Linked DNA regions of Stegostoma tigrinum. The protein of the gene in region 2 binds, or shares a complex with, the protein of the main gene of each other region. Links are inferred from orthologs where the notes say so. Each region holds a gene or a part of one and is shown on either strand. Other genes may lie near its edges.

Evidence for each region.
Region 1: the proteins of wdpcp (region 2) and fuz are in contact, whole or in part, in a cryo-EM structure (PDB 7Q3D), measured with the Homo sapiens proteins. The link is inferred for Stegostoma tigrinum from reciprocal best matches to the Homo sapiens genes WDPCP and FUZ. Residues at the interface, in NP_056994.3 of Homo sapiens: Arg55, Ile57, Asn75, Lys78, Leu82, Glu418, Asp419, Arg420, Leu421; in NP_079405.2 of Homo sapiens: His293, Glu372, Glu373, Pro374, Arg379, Gln397, Pro399, Thr400, His401, Gly402, Ser405, Leu406.

The regions. Positions count from the first base shown.
Region 1 is NC_081391.1:22,111,569-22,123,960, reverse strand, and holds the start of fuz (protein fuzzy homolog), read right to left. Parts: upstream 5,184-12,392; 5' UTR 5,160-5,183; coding exon 5,076-5,159; intron 944-5,075; coding exon 822-943; intron 1-821. UniProt on the Homo sapiens protein: Probable planar cell polarity effector involved in cilium biogenesis. May regulate protein and membrane transport to the cilium.
Region 2 is NC_081362.1:1,602,949-1,616,449, forward strand, and holds the start of wdpcp (WD repeat-containing and planar cell polarity effector protein fritz homolog), read right to left. Parts: upstream 6,648-13,501; 5' UTR 6,645-6,647; coding exon 6,563-6,644; intron 1-6,562. UniProt on the Homo sapiens protein: Probable effector of the planar cell polarity signaling pathway which regulates the septin cytoskeleton in both ciliogenesis and collective cell movements.

The DNA.
Region 1 (12,392 bases), on a different chromosome or scaffold from region 2:
CAGTGGCGGAGAGAAAACAGAGTTAACGTTTCAGGTCTGGTGACGTATTTCAGAATCTTTTCTTCAGAAAAGGAATCCTTTTCCTTACTCCCTTCAAAAAGGCCCAGGTAACACAAACAGGAAAAAATCCAGAAAAATGTTTTTTAGAATGTAATTAGAACCACAGGATGTTTATAGCACATAGTAAGGCCATTCATCCCATTACATGTGTGCCAGCTCTCTGCTAGAGCAACTTACCCAGCCCCACTCACCCAACAATTTTCATGTCATCCAGCAAATTTTCACCATCTGACAAATGCCCAATTCTCTTTTGAAAGCCATGATTGCATCTGCTTCCATCACATTCCAGATCTTAATCACTTGCTACATTTTTTCCTCATGTCACAATGTTTTTTTCAGGATTCACCTTAAATCTAACTCCTTGTGTTCTTGGCCCTTCTGCCAATGGGAATGGTCTCTCCCCATCCAGAACCCTGATGATTGTGAAAACCTCCAACACAGCTGCTCTCAAATTCTCTTGTCCTGTTATTCCTGGACACGGAGCAGCTCCTTTCCCATTAAGAAAAGTTTATGAAGACAATTTGTGTGGGTCTCACGGTACTGTGGCTGTGTCCCTACCTCTAGGCCAGAGATCAGGTTTCAAGTCCCACTTGCTCAGGAGGTGTATTGTAACATGTTTGAACAGATCAGTGAATACAACTATAAGGAAATTGGTCATCAACTTTTGTTTTAAATTAATTTTAAATATGATCTTGCAGTGCATTTGTGTCTCACACAGAACAAAACCCGGAATGGATCCCTGGACCTTTGTTCTACCTTACCTGTCGTGGAAAACTCTCCAACAGACCCTGGTGTTGTCAGTACAGGTGCTGGTTAGAAAAATATCCTGGTTACTCCCAAACATGTGCACTCCATTCAAAGAGCCAATAACCGAGAACGGAAGCTGCAAAACAAAAGGGACTGACTGAAATACAGAAACTCCATTCAGGCCATTAAAACTTTTCCAGCCAACTTGATCCCAGTGTTTAAAATAACTGAAAGATCCGATGGGATTCATAAGTCTACATGATCTCAGAGTAGAAGTAGGTCATTTAGCCTGTTCTCTACCATTCAATAAGATCATGGTCGATGTGGTGATGCTGAACTCCACTTTCTGCTCCTCCCCCCAACCATATCCTTGATTTTCATAATGAATAGAAATCTGTCCATCTCAGCCTTGAACATATTTAATGACCCAGCCTCGACAGCCCTCTGTGGTAAAGAATTCCAGATTCACTATCCCCTGACAGAAGAAATTTCTCCTTATTGATCTTAAACAGGTAACCCCTTAAACTGAGATTATGTTTTCTGGTTCTCGACTCTCCCTCAATGGGAAAGAACGTTTCCAGAGAGACAAATGATGTTCTATGATGGGACAGTTTGGAAGGTACACCGGCAAAACTAGAGCTCAGCCTGTTAGGGGTAACATCAGCAAGCACTTCTTCACACAAGAACATGCTAATAGTGCAGGTCTGAGGCTAGAAAAAAAAGTCAAAAGGCAGTGGAAGCTGGGTCTTTGAGTATTCTTAAGACCAAGGTAAGATGAAGATTCTTGGTAAGCAAGGGGGATGATAAAAGGTCATCAGGTGTACAGATGGGATTGAGGAGTATTCGAGTCAGCCATGATTTGAGTGAATGGTGAGGCAGGTTTGAGGAACTTGCTCTTGCTGTATCCACCTTCTATCCGACTCCCCCTCTCTCCCTATTTATTTCAGAATGCCCTTCCCCTCCCCCATTTCTGAAGAAGGGTCTAGGCCCGAAACATCAGCCTTCATGCTCTTCTGATGCTGCTTGGCCTGCTGTGTTCATCCAGCTCTACACCTTGTTATCTCTTGCTCTTGTATGTTTATATGCAAATTCTGCAGCAAGGATCTCACTGCATAAGGCTCCCACCCCCACTCCTTCACTGCCCAGCCATCATCTACACGGAGCAAGTCAGGAATGTGATGGAATACTTTCCACTTATCTGCATTAGTTCAGGTCTATTAACACTCAAGAAACTCAACACTATCTGGGACAAAGTATGCTGTTTGACTGGTATCCCATCTACCACATTCAACATTCACTTCCTCACCACAGTTGGACAATAGTAACAGTGCATGCCATCTGCAAGATGCACTTACAAGTAAACAAGGCTCCACTGACAGCATCTTCCAAACCTGCAAGCTCTACCACTTTGAAGGACAAGACGGCAGATACATGGGAACATCATCATCTGCATGCTCCCTTTCAAGCCATAAACTACATTGATTTGGAATGGTTATCACTTGTCCTTCATTGTCGGTCGAACCAAAATATCAGAACTCCCGTCTTAACAGCACTGTGGGCGTCTCTATATCTCGTGCACTACAGTGATTAATGAAGGCAGCTCACTACCATGTTCTCCAGAGCAATTAGGATTGGTTGAACAAAGCAAGCCTAGTCAGTGTTATCCACGTCCAGGAGGAGAATACATTTTTAAGAGTAAATAAAGGGATAGTAGAATTCTGAAACTCTCTCACCAAAACGAAAAAGCTTTTTGGGGTTCAATTAAAAATGTCAGAAACTAAGGTTGTTCAATTTTTGTTAGGCAAAGATATTAAGCAATAGGGGTTTGTAGGTGGATTTAAGGTGCAGATCAGCTGTGATTAATTTCAATAGCCATCTCCTATACTTATATTGCCAACTACGGAGCAGCACTGGGCAGTCATAGAGTTATAGAGCACAGAATCAGACTCTTTGGTCCAACTCATCCATGCTAACCAGGTATCCTAAATTAATCTAGTCCCATTTGCCAGTATTTGGCCCACATCCTTCTACACACTTCCTATTCATGTATCCATCCAGGTGCCTTCCAGAGTCATAGAGTTGACCCCTTCATCAGTTCAGTTTATTAGCAACCAAATCACTTAAGTATTCACTCTCACTAGTGTACCATGGTGAGAGTGTACTACCTACAAGATGCACTGCAGAAATTCATCAGGGCTTCTTAGATAGTACCTTCCAAACCCATGATCACTGTCATCAAGTAGGACAAGGGCAGTGGAGGCACGGGAACATCACCACCTGCAAGTCCACCACCCCCCCACCCCCAAGCCAATTGTAATCTTGACTTGGAAATTTATCCCTGATCCTTTACTGGTGCTGGGTCAAAATACTGGAATTGCCTCCCGAACAGCACTATGTGTGCGGTTCAACCCAAACAGATGGCAACAGTTCAAGAAACCAGCTAAGCAGCTGACTACCATCTTCTCAAGGGCAACTAGGGTAGGCAATAAAGGCTGCCCAGCCAGTGACACCACATCCCATGACCAACTAAAATAAATACCTCCACTACCGAGGACAAGGGCAGAAAATGCAAATGGAAACACCGGCTCTTGCAAGTTCCTTGCCATCACGGCTAGAAGATACAATTGGTTAATCTTGCATCACAACTTTGAGGACTGCCTCGAAAACAGTAACTTGCCCTGCATGGACATGTCTCACCACCACCTTCTTCAGAGAAATGAGGGATAAATACTGGTTTTGTCAGCATGATGTCCAAAACATTTGTTGTGGCATTTAATTCTTGCCCCCATTTTCATTCAATAAAATGGCCAGCCAGTTACCATTTATACTAAATGGATGGTCAGGCTTGGCATATGCAGCAGCACAGTGGGCACACCACTAACAAAACCATATTACCAAATCAGTATTCCCTTTGTACCCTAGAGACGGTAAGAACTACAGATGTCAGAAGCTAGAGTCAATAAATGTGGAGCTAGAAAAACACAGCAGATTAGACCACATCCGAGGAGTAGGAAAGTCAACATTTCGGGCCGTCCTAATTAAGGGCTTCAGACTTTCCTTCTCTTTGTACCCTCTCTCTCACTGAATTTCACAGAGTCCCTACAGTGTGGAACAGGCCCTTCAGCCCACATGTCCACACTGACCCTCAGAGCATCCCACCCAGACCCAGACCCAACCCTCATAACCCACCTAACCTAAACATCTCTGAACACTGCAGACAATTTAGCATAGCCAATCCACCCAACCTGCACATCTTTGGACTGTGGGAGGAAATCAGACCACCTAGAGCAAACCCACACAGATACAGGGAGAACATGCAAACTCCAAACAGACAGTCACCCAAGGGTAGAATTGAACCCAGGTCCCTGGCACTGTGAGGCAGCAGTGCTAACCACTGAGTCACCATGCCACTCAAAAAATTATTCCCCATGTCTCCGCCCTTCTTCAGGACAGTAGCATCTTCAAAATTGTTTGAAATTGCATTGAGTAATTCCTGAGTGCAAGCCCCCAATGTTTCTTGCTTTTATTTTCTCCTCTGAGGTTTGAGTGTCTTTGGCGCTCCTCACCACAGAAAGCTGTGCATAAAGCTGCCACCGTCTTATCAGACTATGGGGCTGTTCTCTCATTGCAGAAAAGCGACTGGTGGGGGTTTAACCTGAGGGTCACCACTAGCTCAGGTCAGGGTAAAAGTTGAGAAGGAGAATCTATCATGGTAATATCACTTGGTGTGGAAATTGAATCTGTGCTACAAAACAGTCATCCAGCCATAAGAGATAATAGGAACTGCAGATGCTGGAGAATCTGAGATAACAAGGTGTAGAACTGGATGAACACAGCAGGCCAAGCAGCATCAGAGGAGCAGGAAGACTGACGTTTCGGGCCTAGACCCTTAAGATGCTGCTTGGCCTGCCGTGTTCATCCAGCCAACTGGGCTAACTAATTCCCAAAGCCAAAGTTGCCATAGTCCAACCAGATGAGATGGATACTGTCCCATTAGAGAGAGAGAGCTGAATGGCAGTGGTTTAACTGGAGAGGATAGACAGTCAGTCAGGGATTCAAGGACTATGGGGAAAAATGGGCGTGAGGAATCAACCATGAACCTTTAGAATGGTGAAGCATGCTAGAAGGGCCCAACGGCCTACTCCTGTGGTTATTCCATATGGCTTTATGGTCTTTATTTAAATAGCAAACAAAAAAAAGTTTTTTTTTGTTGTAGAAAACGAAGAGAAGACAATGCACTGCAAAGAATGTAACATGAGTGAGGTTACCTGCCTACTCTCCCCCTTACTTCTGCAATACAGAGGCACGCCACTGCTAGTTGCCAGGCACAGGAGCTGTACAGTAGCCGCCATCTTGAGAAACCGGACCCCCCCCCCCTGGCTACAGGCCTTCACTTTCCCGAGGTACGCCGGGATACCTTCGCGTCCCCTAGCAACCGCCGCCGCTCCCTAACAACCGCCCGCGCACGCGCAGCTCTGTAAACTTTTTTGCTACAGTTCCCTCCCCCGCATTCAATGCAGTTTCAAGTGATGCAGTCCCTTCCATCAACAACAGATTCTTAAAAATTAGATAAATTTAGATTTTAAAAATCTATTGAAGGCCTACAATGGGAAAGGGCACCAGTATAGAGTCACAGAGATAATGGGAACTGCAGATGCTGGAGAATCCAAGATAATAAAGTGTGAAGCTGGATGAACACAGCAGGCCAAACAGCTTTTGTGCTCCTGAGATGCTGCTTGGCCTGCTGTGTTCATCCAGCTTCACACTTCATTACAGAGGTCTCAGGTTGGATAAGAACCCTTCGCTACATTGAGTCAAAAACAACAACTTAATTATTCTAATCCTATAAATCAGCACTTAGCTCATAGCCTTGTATGCCCTGACATCGCCAAGTGCACATCTAAATAAAAGTATTTGCATTATCTGTAAGAGATGACGGGTAGTGGTTTAACCTCAGGGTCACCATGCCTTAAGCGAGGGGAGAAGTAGAGGAGGAGAGTCCTGCATGTAATCTCGGCAGGTGCAGGAAGTGATTCACACTGTTGGCATCATTGTGCAACCCTCAGTTAGCTGGACATCTAAATAGTTTTTAAGTGTTATGAGAGTTTCTACCTCTACCACTCTTAGAAACAGTGAGTTCCAGATTCCTACCACCATCTCGAGTGAATCTTTTTCCTCACATCCCCTCTAAACCTACTGCCCCTTACTTTAAATTCATGCCCCCTGGTTATTGTCCCTTCCACAAGTGCCTTCCTATCCAAAACTCATCCGGTCTGGCAGCATCTATAGAGAGAAAGCAGTGTTAATGTTTCGAGTACAATGACCCTTGTTCAGAGGAAGGGTCTATTCTGAGGAAGGGTCTCTGAACTCTACTTTCTCTCCACAGATGCTGTCAGACCTGCTGAGTTTCTTCAAAAATTTATGACTTTTTTTCCAGATCTTCAGCATCCACAGTTCTTTGTTTTATTTATTCCTTCCTGTCTATGCTGCTTATAATTTTATATATCTCAGTCATGCCCCCACCGAGGTCTCTACTGTTCCAAGGAAAATAATCCCTGTATATCCAATCTCTTTTCATGCTTGAAGGAAATATTAAGGCATTAAATAAATATTCTCTGTGGAGCCAAATGTTTTCCTGAATCTATATTCTTAGAAAATTCATATGAATTTTGAAAGTTACCAAAACTTCTGCAATATAGAAACAAGAACAACCTATTTTTAAATACTTTTATTTTTTAAAAAAACAATTAAACAGTGTCACGGGAGCATTATAAAAGGAAGTATGATGCCGAGCCTCAGAAGGAGATATTAGGTCAAGTGACTAAAGGCTAAGGAGATGGGATCAGAGGGGTGTCTTAAAGGAGGATAGTGAGTTAGAGAGGCGGAGAGGTTTAAGAAGTGTATCAAAGGTTTGAGGGTCCAGGAAACTGAAAGTCCAACCACCAATGCAATTAAAGTTCAGGATTCACACGGGACTAGAATTTAAGGAAGATAAATCTCTTAGACAGTTGTGGAGCTGGGGAGGATTAGAAAGACAGTGAGGTAGATAGCATTTGAGGGATTTGGAAATAAGAAGGAGAATCCATTTTAAAATTAAAATGTTGCTTGACTGGGAGTCAACAGACATTGCTGTGAGTTAAAACATAACAGCAGAATTTTTGATGAGCTTAAGATTACAAAATGTAAAATATAGGAGATCAGCCAGAGGTATGTTGGAATAAGGAAGACCAGAGTGAGTGAGAGAACGTGAATGAGGATTGCAACAGCAGATGGTTTCTGCAAACTTTTGCATGTCCTACTGTTTCCTAATGTCATCGCTGAAAAATCTGGCTCCAGTTTTAAACTAAGCCCCAGTGACTGAAAATAGATTCCCCTACATACCCAGGAGGCTTTCCTACTATGACCACATTTGGATGCTTGAAAATTGTCTTCACCCTGCGATGAGAGCTGGCCAGGAGAGTGGAGGATATGACCTACTGTTCTACAAGAAGCGCAGAAGGAGAGTGGTTGGGGAGGTGGGTTTATCCTCTGCTGCCTTAGAATTTGTAAAATTTCAGCTCATGTCTGTACTTGGGTTGCCCTAACATGCCCAGTCGGTTTCCTGCATACTCAAAAACAGGATGGTTTGGCTCAATGTTTTACAATTGATGAAAATCACCTCTTGATTTTTAAATGAATAAAGTCACTTGATCTAATTGATCTGTAATAACATATTAACTATTACCTCTGCATGGAATTCCTGTTAATTTTTCTCAAAAGCGTTATGAATATCAGACTCTGTATCTCTAATAGTCCTCACCTCTGTAAACATGTCACCCTGTAGCTACATATTTCCACCAAGTGGAGGCACTACACTTCCACATGAACAGACCAGAGCAACTACCACACGGAATATTTCAAGAGGGAGTTTGTTTGAACTGTGGTAGCAGAAGGGCTAATAGAAGTTGAAAGATGAGGTCAGAGTATAAAGCTTAAAATAGATGCTGAATTACTTCTGAATACTGAGTTCAATTATCCCACATCTCCCATTATTGCTTTAACTGAAAACTCCATTTGTCCAAAATCACTGGAGATTACTGAATAATTAGAAGCACGTTAACATGATTTTCATCTGACCGAAAATTCTGATTTATTCAGTCATTGCAACAGCCATTCATCATTTAGCAAGAACCCATAGCTTGCAACCAGATAAATAATCAGTTTGAAGAGCTGGGGTGGAATGATGGTGGCGATACAGTTAAAGTTCCCTACTGGCGGCCAGACATCATTTAACCTAGATGAATTACTCATGACCTAATTTGTATCAAGTCCCACACACCCTTCACCCCTGTGCTCACATGACCTACACTGGCACCTGGATAAGTAATGTCTCAGTTTAACGATTGATCCTTATATTCCAATCCATTCATGGTCTCACTCCATCCAATCTCTGTAACCTGCTACAACCCTCCAAGATCCTCAATTCTAGACTCTTATGCTTCCTTACTTTCAACAGCCCATTGGCAGTCACATCATCAGTTCTGTATATCATCTGTTAAGGTACTCCTTAAAGACACCAGCAGTAGAGGGAGCTTCCACAGTGGCTTCAGCTCTGGTGGCCTGTGGGCAGGGCCAATGCTGTGCTAGGGGATGTGGCACTCGCAGTGGAAAGGCTGAAGATATTTGTAAAGTCCCTGCAGTATGGAAGCAAGCTATTCAGCTCATCTAGTCCACACTGACTCTCCAAAGAGCATCCCACCCATACTTTGTAAACCTGCATTTCCCATGGCTAATTGACTTAGTCTACACACCTTTGGATTGTGGGAGGAAACCAGGACACCCAGAGGAAACCCATGCAGACACAGGGAGAATGTGCAAGCTCCACACAGACAGTTGCTTGAGGGTGAAGTCACACCTGGGTCCCTGGTGCTGTGAGGCAGCAGTGTTACCCACTGAGCCTTCATGCCATCAAGGAGTGGATTTGAGTAACTAAGCTTGGTAAAGACATGAAAATCAAGACTCTGGATGGAATTTATCTCTTCTCCAACCCTATCAATGGGTCTTCTTTCTGGATCACTCTTGAAGAACGAGATCATGCCCATACAGAAGCAAATGTGTGCAGGAAATCCAATGGATTTACAGATGTTGGATGAACACAGCAGGCCAAGCAGCATCTCAGGAGCACAAAAGCTGACGTTTCAGGCCTAGGCCCGAAACGTCAGCTTTTGTGCTCCTGAGATGCTGCTTGGCCTGCTGTGTTCATCCAGCCTCACATTTTATTATCTTGGAATTCTCCAGCATCTGCAGTTCCCATTATCTCTGATTTACAGATGTTGTTGCAATTGGTGACTATAACAGATGTGTTGGTTTGGGTTTCAATGCTGCAAAGAAGTGGTCATTGCAGTTTGTGGACCTATCAGTCTGGCAAAGTTGTTAATCATTTCTGTAAGAAGGGGTGACTGGGATAACCAAATTGGAAGATCCCACACTCTACCATGCAAGGTTACTGGGCATCGCGACTTAGGCTTTGGGCGTCTGATTCCCGTTCCTCAACGTACCGGGTTGTCTCAGCTCCAGTCCCCTAGAAACTACTTCAGTAGGCCAGTGCTGATGATTACCATCCCTTTGCCGGAGGCTGAACAGTCAGACTGGGAGCTTCGCTAAAACTCTGTTCTGAGGAAGGGTCACAGGATGCAAAACGTTAACCCAGATATTTTTTTTCTTCACAGATGCTGCCAGACCTGCTGAACTTCCCCAGCAACTTCTGTTTTTAACCCTGGTTGCAAGATCTGCAGTTCTTTTGTTTTTTTATTTGCTAAAGCTACATTTGATGCCATCTCTAAGATCCTACAGCTACCTGGCTCCAAATCTCGAGCTGGAGATTGTGCTTACCGAAGCCCCATACCAGGAACAAAAACAGAGGTTGCTGGGAAAGCTCAGCAGGTCTGGTAGCATCTGTGAAGAAAAATGTCAAAGTTAATGTTTCTGGTCCGGTGACCTTTCCTCAGAACTGCTGGTAACTGGGAAAACGTCAGCTTATATGCAGAAAGTAGGGAGGGAGCTGGGGTAGGGAGTAAACAATAGGATAGAGCCTGAAGAGAGAGAAGAGCAATTAGATAGACAGAGGAGTTGATAACAATCTGACTAGGAGGGTGAATAGTTGTTAATGGGGACTGTTGGTGACAAATTATAGGTAAAAACCAAAAGAACTGCGGATGCTGCAAATCAGGAACAAAAACAAAGTTGCTGGAAAAGCTCAGCAGATCTGGCTGCATCTGTAGAGGAGAAAGCAGAGTCAACGTTTCGGATCTGATGACCCTTCCTCAGAACTGGTTATAGGTACTGTGTAATGGCAGGCAATGCGATAACAAGGCCTGGTGTGAGGAGTAGGAGGCTAGGACATGGGCTACCATGAATTCACTTATCATCGGGTCAAGAACCACACCCATATATCTGTTCAAACATTCCAATCAGCTGTCGCTCCACCAACATTAAGCATTCATGCAGAGAATGAAATAAAAATCTATTGCATATTTTAAAAAACACTTAAAACCTAAATCTTTGATTTGCCTTTTGATCATTTGCTCAAATTTCTCCATATGTGTAATGCTGTCAAATTTTCTTTGATAATCCTCTTCCAAAGGACCCTGGGGAAGTTTTACAACATTAACCGTGCTATTTCCATACCAAATCTTAACCTGGCACGGGTCTTGAATATACAACTTCCAAATTGAAACATGGGAGTTGCAGAAGTTGAACCAAGCTATTACAGAAGGGACAGACAAACAAGATACATAAAGATTGGCCACCTGTAGAAGGTGCTGCAGGGGATCAATAACATTGGTACCCAGTCTTAAGAAAAGATATAATCCAGATTGATTTGTACTGAATTTCCCATTTAACAGTTAGGATCTTTGGGGAATTGCATAAAAATAAGAGCATTGAAAACAATAGAAAATGAAACTTTTTCAAAACTGTATTTTAATTAGGATTGCAGATTTTTAAAAGTCAAAGCACAAACCCACCTAATATTGAGTTTCATATTAAGGAGACATAACATAAGAACAAGAGCAGGCCATTCAGCTCATTGAGCCTGTTCTGCCATTCACTTGGATTATGGCTGATCATCTAGCTCAATGCTACTTTCAGGTACTGTCTCCACATACCTCGATTTCTTTAGTCTCCTGAAATCCATCATTTTCTGCCTTGCACCTGCTCAATGATTGCATCTCCTTAGCCCTCGGGGCTGGAGACTTCCAAGCATTCACTCCCTTCTAAGCGACGAAATTCCTCCTTCTCTCAGTCCTAAATAGTTCACTCCTTATCTGAGACTGGGTACCCTGGATCAGCCAAAAGCGACATCTTATCTATGTCCATCTCCTCAAGTCCTGCAAGAATTTTGTGAGTGACAAAGCAGTCATAAAGTCATGCAGCATGGAAACAGACCCTTCGATCTGACCAGTCCATGCTGACCATAATCCCAAACTAAACTAGTCCCACCTGCCTGCGCTTGGTCCGTGCCCCTCCAAACTTTTCCTATTCATGTACTTATCCAAAAGTCTTTTAAACATTGTAACTGTACCTGCATACACGACTTAGGTCACTCCTCATTCTTCAAAACTCTAAGGAATACAGACCCGATCTCCTCAATCTCTCTTCAGAAGACAATTTCACCATCCCAAGGACTAATGTGGTGAACCTTTATTTACTCCCACTATGGTAAGTAAATCCTTCCTCAGTTAAGACAGTGCTGTTTCTCCTCAGCATCTTTGACCTGAAGTTGCACCCACTTTCAGTACATCATTTGGTTTCAGTGAGCTGATGGTTGCTGAACAATACTGCCGAGAAATGGCCTGGATTAATTCTGCAAGAGCACTTGGTCAACTGTCAATCACTCGAGGAATCCCCTCCCTCACCTTTTGGATATATCTTCCCTGTGATATTCCAGTCACATTCTTAATTGTCACTGCCTTGTTACATTTGACATAATTGTATAAAGACTGTCTAATGGGAGAAAAGCTGAAAATGTGGACATTTCAACAATTTTGCTGAAATTGTTAGGCCAACAGGGCAGTTAATGAAAATCTGAGACTGTCACAGCAATACTAGGACATTTGCAAGGACACACATCCTAATTCTAACAGCTATGAACAACAAATATATATAATCTCCACCCCTACACTTTAAAAATCCCCAAGGCACTTTCCTCCTTCTCTATTAAAGCTTCTACTGCAGTAAAGACAAAAAAGAAACCCCAAGGATCTAATCAAAGATAGTAAGAACTATCGTTGCTGGAGTCAAAGATAACACATTGTGGAGCTGGAGGAACACAGCAGACCTTTCAGAAATGAAGAAGGGTCCCAACCCAAAAAGTCAACTTTCCTGCTCCTCTGATGCTGTCTGGCCTACTGTGTTCCTCCAGCTCCACACTCCACAGATCTAATCGTTCACATTAGCTCTATTTATCTGGGCAAAATGGTTACCAAATTCAGCTACAGAGCCATTGGTTAATAGCAGTGTGAAAAGCAGTTGGATGATTTCTGAAAGTTTGATAAAACATTGCACAACGCAGGTCCTTTCATTACTAAGAACATCTTAGAAAATAA
Region 2 (13,501 bases):
GGTGAAGATCACGGTTTGCACATTAATATGAAGCAGGCAGAGAATGGTGTTGAATTTCTACAGGCAGTCAAATTTGAGGAGGACATTCCACAATCCTCTCAGCTGACAGAATCGAAAGCCATACAAAGGTCAGTAACTGTTCCATGCACCTTTCTTGAATTTGTTCTGCACTGAAAATCATTTCCATTGTGCCTTTTTATAGAGTCACAGCACGGAAACAGACACTGTCAGTCCAACTTGTCCCAGCCTATAACTCAAACCCTCCAGTCCAGCAACATCCCAGTAAATCTTTTCTGAACCCTCTCCAGTTTTATATCCTTCCTCTAGCACAGCGACCAGAGCTGTACACACTATTCCAGAAGTGGCCTCACCAATGTCCTGAACAACCTCAACATGACATCCCAATTCCTATATACAATGAGAAATGAAGGTAAGCATGCTAAATGCCTTAACCACCCTGTCTATCTATGATGGAAACTTAAAAAAATTATGGTGATACTCAGGGAGGAGCTTTTTAGCTACTGGGGGGAGATGGTTGAAGAGGATTCTCATAATAACCATTCCAGTGGTGGACAGTAGGAAATTCCTCTGTAATTTCCAGAGTCAGACTGCTCTCTTTTCTTTACGATGGTCACGACTATGACAGCTGAGATCTCCCACTATGCTCTCTTTCTTCCAGTTAAGTTTGATGAAGTCATGAATTTGTGTCAAGAGTGACTCTCCAACATATTTTAGCACTTCAGCAGGGATTCTATCATCATATTGAATGGTGAAGCAGGGTCAAGGGGACAAATAGCCTACTCCTGATCCTAATCCTATTTTCTATGCTTCAATCATTTCCAAGTAACACACTGCTTTGACTGAGCAATGCATCACCATTACTTAATAATAGCACCAAAACCATGCAACTCTTCACCCAATGCATTGTGAAAGCTTAATTACTACAAAGATTATAGCAGTTCAAAGATCCATCATCTTCTTAGGGAAATGATGAATGTCTTGAATGATATAACTCCTGCATCACACTAATTCTAAAACAAATAAAAATAACCTGACAGTCTTAGTTGTTCCAGAAATCCTGGCTTTTGACTTGACATTTCTCTTCAGAGTATAGCTCAGTTGGCTAAAATTGCTACAGTCTTAGCATATGCCTTGTTCATAACTTTGCAGGAGGCTTAACATGACAAAATGCATTTCATAGACCCTGATAGTATCTGGTTGATAATGTGCTTAAGTTAATGTGAATAAAAACTAGAGCATTAGTTTCAAAAGTTTTATTCAGCTAGATTTATTGACTTTTTTTGAAAAGGCATGAACTTACATACGTAAGAGTAAATGGAGTATTTAAAAAAATTGAACAGAACAAGTACTCAAAAGACAAACTGTACTCATTATACCATTGCGGCAGCTTTCTGTTCAAATTTATTAAAAATCTGTTGCTTTTTTTCTCTTCTACTTGGAGTCATAAGCTGTGGATATGAGAGGTAGTCATTGCCTTCCACCATGCACACAGCACAGATTCCAATTAAAGATTACATCATTTGTTCTTTTGGGATCTACAGATAATGCAGGCAAAAGACTATTGTGTTACAAAATCGATGGACAATGCTCCCTGGATAATAAACAATCCATTAAATTACACAAAATTAGAAACTGTCTGCACTTTTATGGGGTGATAACCTTTGTGGTAATGGACACATTCAACATATAGCCTCATTGCCACCTGGGCTAGAGATAGTAAAGTTCCTGGGGTGCCTGGCTCGTGGAAAAGGGTCTGCATCCTCATCTGATGGTGTCTTCCTTACAACAGGGAATCAGTCAAGTTTCTTTTCTCCCCTCCAACACACACACACACACACACACACACAATTAGTCATATGCTTTTAAGCAATATGACTTAGCTGGTAGTTCTCCTATGGGGTAGCCTGAAAGGATTCCATTGCATAGATACGCAATGGCATTGTATCCTTTACATAAATAGGAAGGTCCTGAAAGTCAAACGAGAACAAATAGTACAAACTTTAGTACTCCCTAAAAATAGGTCTGCTCAGACATACTGTTGTGATCTGAACTGATGGCAATAATTAAAAAAAACTAAGAGTAGGAGAAGGCAATTCAGCCCCTTGATGCTGCTCCCTCATTCAATATGATCATATCAGCCTTAATTTTAACTTTCCTGCCGGCTCTTCATTACCCTTTAGCCCATTACTAACTAAAAAGCTGTCTATTTCCTCCTTAAATATATTCAGTCTCCTAGCACCAACTGCACTCTGGGCTAGTGACCCTTTAAGAGAAGTAATTTTACCTCATCAGTGTTAAATCTGCTATCCCTTAGCAGAAAACTATGACCTCTTATCCTAGATTGCCCAATGCAGGGAAACATCTGCTGTGTATCTATTTTGTCAATCCCCTTTAGCATCTTATTTACTTCAATTAGATCTCCCCTCATTCTTTCAAATTGCTTAATCACTATTCATAAGACATCTTTCATCACTGTAATTAATCTAGTGACCCTCCTCTGAACAGACTCAAGTGGAATTACATCCTTCAAGTAGGAGGACCAAAGCTATACACATTACTTGAGATGCAAGGCATTGGTGAGGCTGCATAATTGCAACATTTTCCTGCTTTTACACTCCATTCCTTTAACAAGAAAATTCAATTCCCACTCCACCCCACCCCCCTGCCTTATTACCTGTTGTACTTACATACTGGTTTTCTGAGATTCCTACATGAGATTCCTCTGCAACAAAGCACTCTCAAGTTTCTCTCCATTTAGATAATAAATTGCCTTTCTATTGTTCTGACCAAAATGGATAGCCTTACAGTTATCCAATTTAAACTTCATCTGCCAAATTTTAGCCCATTCACCTCAACCTATCCGTATTAATTTGAAAATCTTATTTATTTATGGCAATTCACTTTCCCAACTATTTTAGTGTCACCTGTAAATTTGGCTACAGTACATTCTATCTTGTATCCCGGTCACTAATATAGATTGTAAATAGATTGGGTCTCAAGGACTGAATCCTGTGGCGCTCCACTAGTTACAGCTTGCCAACCAGGAAAAGATCCATTTATCCTGATTCTCTGCTTTCTATTGGTAATCCAGTTCTCTATACAAGGTAATCCTGTGTGATCTTACCCAGCATATAAACCTTATCAAATGCCTTCTGCAGGATCCTGAATATCCACTTTGCTTGTTACATCTTTGACTAATTTGCTCAAATTCTTCAAACTCTACAAGCCGAGCTCAATAACATACAAGTCAAATCCCAGAGTGAAACCAAGCTTCATAGATCAAAATTTTCATATTTACAGTTTGGTTATTGTGGTGGTTAATTACTGAACATATTCACACAAAGCTGTCAATATTCTTTTAACAAAACAACACCAGTTTATTGCACAAAGGAAAAAAACACAAGCTGTACATGGAAAATTTAGAAAGTTATAAAGTCCAAGGATCATGTATTTAAAGTGACAGGGAGAAAATTCAAAGGAAATGTGGGGACAAGACATTTCTCCCCACAGTGTGGAACACGCTACCAGAGGTGGTGGTGGAGGCAAACAGAATAGGGGTTTCAAGAGATTTTAATAAGCACATGAATATGCAAGGAAATGGGGGGATATGAACCAAGGGCAGGCAGAAGGGATTAGTTTAATTTGGCATCACGTCCAGCACAACATCACAGGCTGAAGAGCCCCTTCCTGTGCTATACTGCTCACGTTCTATAAAGTCATAGAATTAGATCAAGGAAATAGACCTTCAACCCAACTTGTCAGCACTGATCAGACATCCCAATCTGGCCTAGTCCCATTTGCCAGCATTTGGCCCATATCCCTTTAAACCCATGCTCTTCAATATACCCATCCATATGCCTTTTAAATGTTGTAATCGTACCAGCTTCCACTACTTCCTCTGGCAGCTTGTTCCATACACGCATTTCCCAAGTGAAAAAGTTACCCCTCAGGTCTGTTTGAAATCATTCCTCTCTCACCTTAAATCTATGTCTTCCACCTGAGGAAGATGACCTCGGCATCTGCTCATGCCCCTCATGATTTTATAAACCTCTGTAACGTCACCCCTTAACAGCAAAAACAATTATTTTTCCCATTAATATCCTTTAGTCTTTCTCAATCCCAGTGAAATCTTATTCCTGTATTAACTGTTGAAATTTCTTACTCAAACAACTCTTCCCATTTCTTCTTCCTGGACTGTTGAAGCAAGTCAAGACTATTTCCTCCAGCTCTGAAAGTTGGAAGATTTCTATAAACTAAACTCTCACTGTCTGGAGATTTCTACAATCTGCATTTTTGCTGATGATTTACTGTTTTTCTGAACTGTGATGCTGGACTCTGACCCAAAGAGCTTTCTGTCTTAAAACTCTTCTTTGTAAATATTCGGCAATTAACTTCCAAAGCATCTGATCTAAGCATTTAACTAAAATCACACAATTTCTTGAAAATCATGGGCAGAATCTTGTAGGAGTCCAAGTGACAATGGGCTATGATGAGATTTGTGGTAGAATAAGACAAGTCATCTGACAAGGTTTATCTCAATATTGGGGGCATCTCACTCCAGCTTGAGTACTATTGATAAGTGAGTTTCGCACTCAGGAGCATGGAGTTGCTTTTAAGGGGGATTATTGCTTGTCAAATACCCTTAATGGCCAAACTCACCGCATTAACATTCAGCTTCCTATGCTTCTAAATGTGCCAAACAAGCTAGGCACTGAGAAAACTAGTCATGAAAATCACAGTGCGTACCTGGTGACTTCAGCTCCTTGCTTGGTCCAAAAGGACTTCTGTGTTGTTTATGTCCAAACAGCATCCCCAGACATGATCCATGCACACCAATGGTATGCACTGTTCACCCACAGATACTGCCATTTGCTAATTCCTTATGCCCATCATGGCAATCTGATACACCTGCACAGCACTCTGGAAGCACAGACTTACACTGACAACTAGTACTTAAAGATTGCAGCAGCAGCACACTACATGCAGGAACAGTCACCTAATTGACAGATTCGATCAGCTTGCGTCACAGGTCTGCTCATTTGATCTCTTAGTATCTACCGGCATGCTCATACTATTTATGCCTTTCTTGGCTGTGCCAATTAGCACAGTGACATAAAACCAGGTAGTGTGCATGGGTCAGCAGTCCTCATTCACAGGCATGTATACCTGCTATATGGCAGTTGTGCTGCCAGTCTCACACTTGCTCCATGTGCCAGCTGTTTGTGCAGCAAACCGCACATGCAACAAGCAAGCAGCCTTGTCTCAAACTGTATGACAACACCTGGCATAGTCATCTTATTGCCAGTGTTTCGGGGAGATAAGTGGGCAGGTGCAGACTCATGAAGATGGGTTGGATGGGGACCTGGGGAAATATGAAATCTATGGGAAGGGCTACCAGGAAGGGGATTTGGATGTTTGGGAGCTCTCCCAAACAGAGAAGAGGCTGAAACTGCTGGCAAATGAGAGCTCACTATCACTTTCCATTATGATAGAAATCAAAAGTGTGCAATGGGGAGGAAAACAGTTGCGACCACACTCGACGTGGGTGGAGTAAATGACTCGACATGGGAGGGGAGGGACTCCAAGATGAACCAATGTGAGGCCCTTTACATGCAAACTACATTACACACTGACCCATGCATTGTGTAGTACACAGGTCTGTGGGGTCCTTCATCCCTGGCTATTATAATACATTGGCCCCATGCTTGTTGTGCACCTCCCTGTTCTAGATATCACTGATCAACTCATTCTAGTCAATACTTTGGGAGCAGAGCCCAGGGAAAGAATAGAGATGTTGTGCAACGAGGGGCTATTAGATGAGCAGGACTCATCACCCTGTAAGTGCCTTATTCCTCCTACTTCCACATGCAGCAGCAGGGTCTGAACATAGACATTGATAGTAATACATCGTATGAGGCCACGAAGTTATGCTTCATGCTGCAACAATTACATTCAAGGCTACACAGAGAGACAAACAACCAATGCAAGGTCAAAGCAGTGCCATTTGTAGAAAGGTGTCAAATTATGTACATAGCATTATCACCTGTGCCACCAAAGTGCTGCAATTTCTGGGCAATGAGGGTCACTGCACCCCACTGCTCCTGCTCCTCCCTGTGGATATAGACAAAGTCCCTGACTGCTGACAGTCAAGTCCTCTCCTGCCTAGGGTTGGACAGGTGCCTGAATACTGGCAGTCCTCCGAATACCAGTGGCCTGGGATAATTTTTCCTTGGTCAGCTGTGAAGCTGTCACTGTGAGGTGCTCACCACATTATAGCTCCACACCAAAGCGCACACACAGGAGACACCCATACCGATGCCCCCTATGAGACTCCGTACTCTCATACTCAAGAGGTCAAGACAATTGTTTCTGGGGGAGTTGGGTATTTTGTGACAGAGATGGAGGAGATGCTGGTAGTAACTGCAAGTATAAAGGGAGAGAAGGCCAATGGTTAGAAATGGTGTGCAATGAATGAATGATTGCTTGAGATAGATGGAGGAGTTAATATGAGAATTACTATGGAATGAAGAAAGGTACTTACTCGGCGACCCCGCAGGAGTGATTCCAGTCTTTTCCAGCGAGGGCCAAGATTCTTTCCTCATAGCGGGTAAGAAGCCTAACATCTGGTACCCCTCCACCTGCACTGGAGGCTTTTTGCTCTGTTTTTTCTTGTAATAAGAGAAGAGACAAATTGAGTGAGATAGCAGTGGGTGGAATGGCTGTTAGTGCTGGTACAAGTGGGTGAAAGCTGGTGTGGTGTCCTAAGGTGATAAGGAGGTAGTGTAGCGGCCTTGAATGGCGTGCAAAATTCGACAGAGGTGGGTAGGTTGGGGGGATGCAAGCAGGTGAATGAGGGAAGATGTTGCAGGCAATAATAGTGAGAGTGACAGGGCCTGAGCACGAGGTGGGTGCAAGCAGAGAGAGGAGTGTGGATCCTGACTATTTGCCATTGACCTTCTTACAACACCACTGGCCATGCTTAGGCATCATTGAGACTGTACCGATCCAAGTTGTGGCCTTATACCAGTATCTGGTAATGTGGTCTCCTCTGCTGGTTCTACAAGAAGGAGACCCGTCTCCTTTGCACCACCCTCCAGGTTCCTGTCAGGGAATTGCAATGCCATCATTTCCTTCTCCAACAAAATATCCTTGAATTAGCAAGGCAGCTTTGGAATTCCAATGCTCATACAGATGCACAAAAGGAACAAGGACTGCTGGTCTGTCAGTTGATATCTGTTCAGTGACGAGTTATTCTGAAAAAGGCGCATGGTGAAAGGAGGGTAGAATCGGCGTGATGGACATCATAGAAGTGAGTGAAGTGGTTAATGAAAGGTGTTCAATAGGATCATAGAATCCCTAGGGTGTGGAAATAGGCCATTTGGCCCAACAAATCCATGCTGCCCCTCTGAAGATCAACCCACCTGGACACATTCCCCTATCCCTGCATTTCTCATCTGATTCCAGCCTTGGGCAACTGTCTGTGCGGAGTTTGCACGTTCTCCACATGTCTGCGTGGGTTTCCTCCCTGTACTCCGGTTTCCTCCCACAGTCCAAAGATGTGCAGGCTAGGTGGATCGGCCATGCCAAATTGCCCGTAATGGCCTGTTTCCACACTGAAGGGAATCTAATCTAACCTGAAAAAAAACCCCACCTAACCCAAACATCCTTGAGCACTATGGGCAATTTAGCATGGCCAACACCTATCCTGCACATTTTTGGACTGTGGGAAGAAACCCACATGCAGACATGAGAAGAATGTGCAAACTCTACACAGACAGTCCACCAAGGCTGGAATCGAACCCGGGTTCCTGGCGCTTTGAGGCAGCAGTGCTGACCACTGAGCCACTGTGCTAGAAGAACCTTTCCCAAAACGAACTCAATTTATTGAATGGTAATCATTACTAGCTTTCAATACCAGAATTTATTCATTGAACTCAAAATCTACCAGATGTTGTAGAAGTGGGGTTCGAACACATGCCCTGGGAGCATTAGCCGGGGCCTCTAGGTTACCAGCCCAATAATATTACCACTGTGCCACCACCTCACACTATATGCCAAGATATGGTGAGAAATCTCACTTGGTGTCACAGTAGGACACCCTCCAAAAAATTCAGTACAACTTGCACTTAGCCTAAAAAACGTAAAATGCAGGCCTGTGTCTTTAGTTCATCACTCCAAATGGCTTTGACCTGAAACACAAGTCAGTCACTCACAGACCTGAAACCAAAATCTACTTTACCTCTACTTTTAAAAAACAAATTCCAAAATGGTAACATATTGTAAACCTTAACCACAATACAATTACACACTGAAGATATCACTATGGGTACAAAAACTAACAGGGAAAGATACACTAGATGTTTAAAACAGAGATGGTTTAGTACTTATTGCCAAAACCTAACCTGCCCCCTTGGCCTGTCTGTCCTCTCCAGACTGACCTATCCCCTCCCTATCTCCCCATCTATACTCACCTCTACAGGCTCCATCCCCACCCCTTTAACTTGTCTGACTCCTCTCCACCTATCTTCTCCTCTATCCACCTTTGATCCGCCTCCCCCGACTCTCTATTTATTTCAGAACCCTCTCCCCATCCCCCTTTTCTGATGAAGGGTCTAGGCCTGAAATGTCAGCTTTTGTGCTCCTAAAATGCTGCTTGGCCTGCTGTGTTCGTGTAGCTCCACACTTTGTTATGTCGGATTCTCCAGCATCTGCAGTTCCCATTATCTCTCAGATCTACGATTTATTTGGTAACTGAAACAACCTAATGTTGAGAGTTAGTTCAAAGTGCAACATATTTGCATGAAGTTTAAAAATTGTCAAAACTTTGTTTTCTAGATCATGATCAAAACAAAGTTTCATTATTTATCAAAATTAAACTTCAGTAATTACCCAAAAGAAGCAAAATTGCCGTTATTAATTCATATGCAAGTCATAAATAACTATATCCTCAAAAAGGAGTAATCAAGGGCAGGTCATGTCTCACAAACCTCATTGACTTTTTTGAGAAGATGACCAAACACGTGGATGAGGGTAGGGCAGTTGACGTGGTGTACGTGGACTTCAATAAAGCCTTTGATAAGGTTCAACATGGTAGGCTATCGGAGAAAATACGGAGGCATAGGATTGAGGGAGATTTAGCAGTTTGGATTAGAAACTGGTTTTCTGTAAGAAGGCAACGAGTGGTGGTTGACGGAAAATATTCAGCCTGGAGTCCGGTTACTAGTGGTGTGCCTCAAAGATCTGTGTTGGAACCACTAACATTTTTATAAATGACTTGGATGCAGGCATAGGTGGATGTGTTAGTAAGTTTGCAGGTGACACTAAAGTCAATGGAGTGGTGGACAGTGTGGAAGAATGTTGCAGGTTGCAGGGAGACTTGGATAAACTGCAGAATTGGGCTGAAAGGTGGCAAATGGAGTTCAATGTGGATAAATGTGAGGTGATTCATTTTGGGAAGAATAATAGAAAGGCAGAATACCGGGTCAATGGAAAGATTCTTGGTGTCCATGTACATAGATCCCTGAAAGTTGCCACCCAAGTTGATAGTGCTGTTAAGAAGGCATAAGGTGCGTTAGGTTTTACTGGTAGAGGGATTGAGTTCCAGAGCTGTGACGTCATGCTGCAACTGTACAAAATGCTAGTGCGGCCTCATTTGTAATACTGCGTGCATTTCTGGTCGCACCATTACAGGAAGTATGTGGAAACATTGGAAAAGGTGCAGAGGAGATTTACCAGGATGTTGCCTGGCTTGGAGCAAAGGCCTAATGAAGAAAGGCTGAGGGACTTGGGTCTGTTCTCATTGGAGAGAAGAAGGCTGAGGGGATTTTACAGAGACATACAAGATGATCAGAGGATTAGATAGGGTGGACAGTGAGAGTCTTTTTCCGAGTATGATGACGTCAGCTTGTATGAGGGGGCATAGCTACAAATTGAGGGGTGATAGATTTAAGACAGATGTCAGAGGCAGGTTCTTTACTCAGACAGCGGTAAGGGCGTGGAACAACCTGCCTGCCAATGTGGTTAACTCAGCCACATTAGGGGCATTTAAACAGTCCTTGGATAAGCATATGGACGATGATGGGATAGTGTTGGGGCTTAGATTAGGTCACAGGTCGGCGCAAAAGAGGGTCAAAGGGCCTGTTCTGCACTATATTGTTCGATGTTCTATGTTCTAAAATATACCACTCATGGTGTTTCATTAATGAACAAAGTAGCTTTCGATGCATCAGATCTACTTTGATACATAATTGCTTTATTCCGAAGGCATTTTGTCAGCTTTTCACCGATGATATTAGAGTAAACTCAGATTGTCATTATCAGTATTAAGTGTTCTCTGAGATGTCTGAGCTGTCATGCAACCCCTACCCTGCTTTTTCCACACAATTAATTATAGGTTTGATTAAGTTCTTGCCAAATTACTGCAGCAATTTAAAATTCCAGTGATTTGGTGTTTCATATCCAGCACGTGACCTGATTTTGCAAACTTTGCGCTTTAAACTAACTCCATAGAATATGAGGTCCTGGATCTTATATTCCCAAAATATTATCCTTCAGTTAACGGTGGTGCCAAGGCTAAGACCTGGAAGTTAATGCACACAGTGGACTCAAAATCAGATGCAAGCCAAGCAAATTTCCAGATGTCTGCACTAACACCCTTTGATGGCTGTAACACTTTTATTTTGAAATCATGTGCAACTCTAAGCAATCACTGCCATGCAGGTTCAAAATAGCATGGCCCAGAGCAAATGTTACTTTGGGCAAAGCCTATCGCTAGAATCCTGCAGGTGTACACTAGACCAGTTGAGGCAGCTAATTCATATTGTCAGAAACGTGAGCCAGCTGGGGGTAACAAGCCACAGTAATCAGGTCACAGTTGGACAGGAAGTGGGGAGGGAGAGAAGAGGGTGTCAGGATAGAGCAAGAATTGGATGATTTGCCCTGTTTGGAGGAGAAAAACAATGCCATCACAACTGTGATGGTCAGGAGAGTGGGGACATAGTTATTTGAACCATGAAAAATAACTGAAAGCACACAATGAACAACTTCAGTGGGCATGTTGGAAACTGTATTAGACAAGTGCATACTTTAGCTCTACTTATTTATATATACACACTACAATAATAATAGATGTGAGGAAGTAAAGACTTCCCATATTTTTGCATAGCATTTATAGTATACATTAAGTAAAATTAACTTGGAGACTAAATAGGATTTTCTACCTTTGAATGAATGCGTTTTTCATAGAGTGGCAGGAGCACAGAAGTTGAATAAAGACACGTTTTGTCACAGCTTTTCATCATCAGGACAATTCCCAAGAAATACCAGCTGGAAAAAGAGGGCAACATTTATGCTGCCTGAGACAAGATTGCTGATTGGTCAGCAAGATAGTATGTAAATATCAAGTTTCCTCCTTTAAATTGGAAGTCTTGCACAGCGTTCTGATAAGAACATGATGAAAAGCTCGAATTAAACATGTCTTTTCTTCAGCACATAAAATCATGAAAGGCACAGAGAAGCCGACAGCTTTTCCCCATGGTAGGGGAATCTGAAACTAAAGGGCGTAGGTTTAAGGTGAGATGGGAGAGATGCTCAAGGGTCCAGAGAGGTAGTTTTTTCATACAGAGGGAGGTGTGGAACGGGTTGCCAGAAGTTGTGGTGGAAACGAGTACAATTTCATCATTTAAGACAGGGACATGATGGGATGGGTGTGGAGGGATATGGGCCAAACACAGGCAATTGGGACTAGTCTAAATTATGAAAACTGGGCAGCATGGGCAAGTTGGACCAAAGGACCTGTTTCTGTGTTGTAGATCTTTTTGACTTTGACTCGACAACAGGGAATATTACAAAGGACAAGTAATTTTCAGAAACAGTGCTGTGACATTGAGATCCTGTGTCCTGTCCTGAATTCACTATGTGGAATGGCAGGAGGGACTACCAAACTCCCAATGCAAGAGAAAGGATGTGAAACTTGAAGGTAACAAAGTGTAGAGCTGGATGAACACAGCAGGCCAAGCAGCATCTCAGGAGCACAAAAGCTGACGTTTTGGGGCTAGACCCTTCATCAGAGAGCTCTCTGATGAAGGGCCTAGGCCTGAAACGTCAGCTTTTGTGCTCCTGAGATGCTGCTTGGCCTGCTGTGTTCATCCAGCTCTACACTTTGTTATCTTGGATTCTCCAGCATCTGCAGTTCCCATTATCACTGAAACTTGAAGATAATTGTTTTCTGCCTTTCAGGACTGAACGAAACCTGACAACCAAATGGAACATCAAAACTCCCTGACGACTGGATATCAAATATCGACAACACATCAAATAACCATTAGCTGTTGTAAAGAATTGAGACTATTTATTGGCATGCTTAAAATCTGGACATTTGTGTTCAGTCACATATCAAATAATAAGCTGAAAAATGACAAAGCGCAAAGCTCAATGAAATGTCAGTGGATTTCACGATATGGAAATTTAAACAGCTGAGTTTCTAACCACTGAGGGACAGAAATGTCGATGTCAGCAACAGTCTCCTTATATGGCATGGCACATTGAGAAAATGCAAAGAATCTTCATCTACAGTTTAATCAGATTATGCGATTCATAATTTTGCCCACTTTGAGTAAACACTTTATTTTCTTTAGGGAAAAGCCAAGAACACTGAAATGAAAAAAAATAAACAAATGTTGCCTGTACAGTTTGTTTTGTGAGAACTCTCATGTCTATCTCACATGAAAACGAAAATCTACCTTTTATTATTGTAATATACAAACTATGTCTGAAATTACTAGCTTATAGTTTCATTTGAAAGAATAGATTAGTCACAAAATGGACAAACGGTTGCACAATACAATGTGGAACAGAATACTAGAATAAAATTAACAACTTAATTAAAAAATCCTTCTGAAAGGACTAACCATAACTGTTGCTCAATTGTAACAATATTTAGAGCTATCTATAACAAAACAAAGAACTGCGGATGCTGGTGAGCTGAAGTAAAAATCAGAAATTGCTGGCACAACTCAGCAGGTCTGACAGCATCGACAGACAGAAAGCAGAATTAACATTTCAAGTCTGGTGACTCTTCATCAGAACAGCTCTCTTTCCAACACCACTTGCACCCTCATAAAAGTAGTTTGTATCAGATGCCACAAAACAAGCTGCTGGCAGAATTCAATGACAAATGCTACAGATAGAATAATATAGATCAGCATTTTATTTTTCATTAATAAAAGTAACTTCCCATTAATCAGTTAAATCCTTACAGAGGAATCTCATTTCTGGAAGAGAAAATGATTATTACAACACTACTCTATTAATTGCATGGAATGATCCATTTGTAATCTTTGTTGTTTGCATACATCATGCAGTTTCACAGCATTTAGCATGCAACAGATGAACCAGTTCATTACAATAAAGTCTCAACACCTATACTTCAGGTACTTGACTAGCTATAGTCATGATAGGCACTATATAAATGCAATTCTAT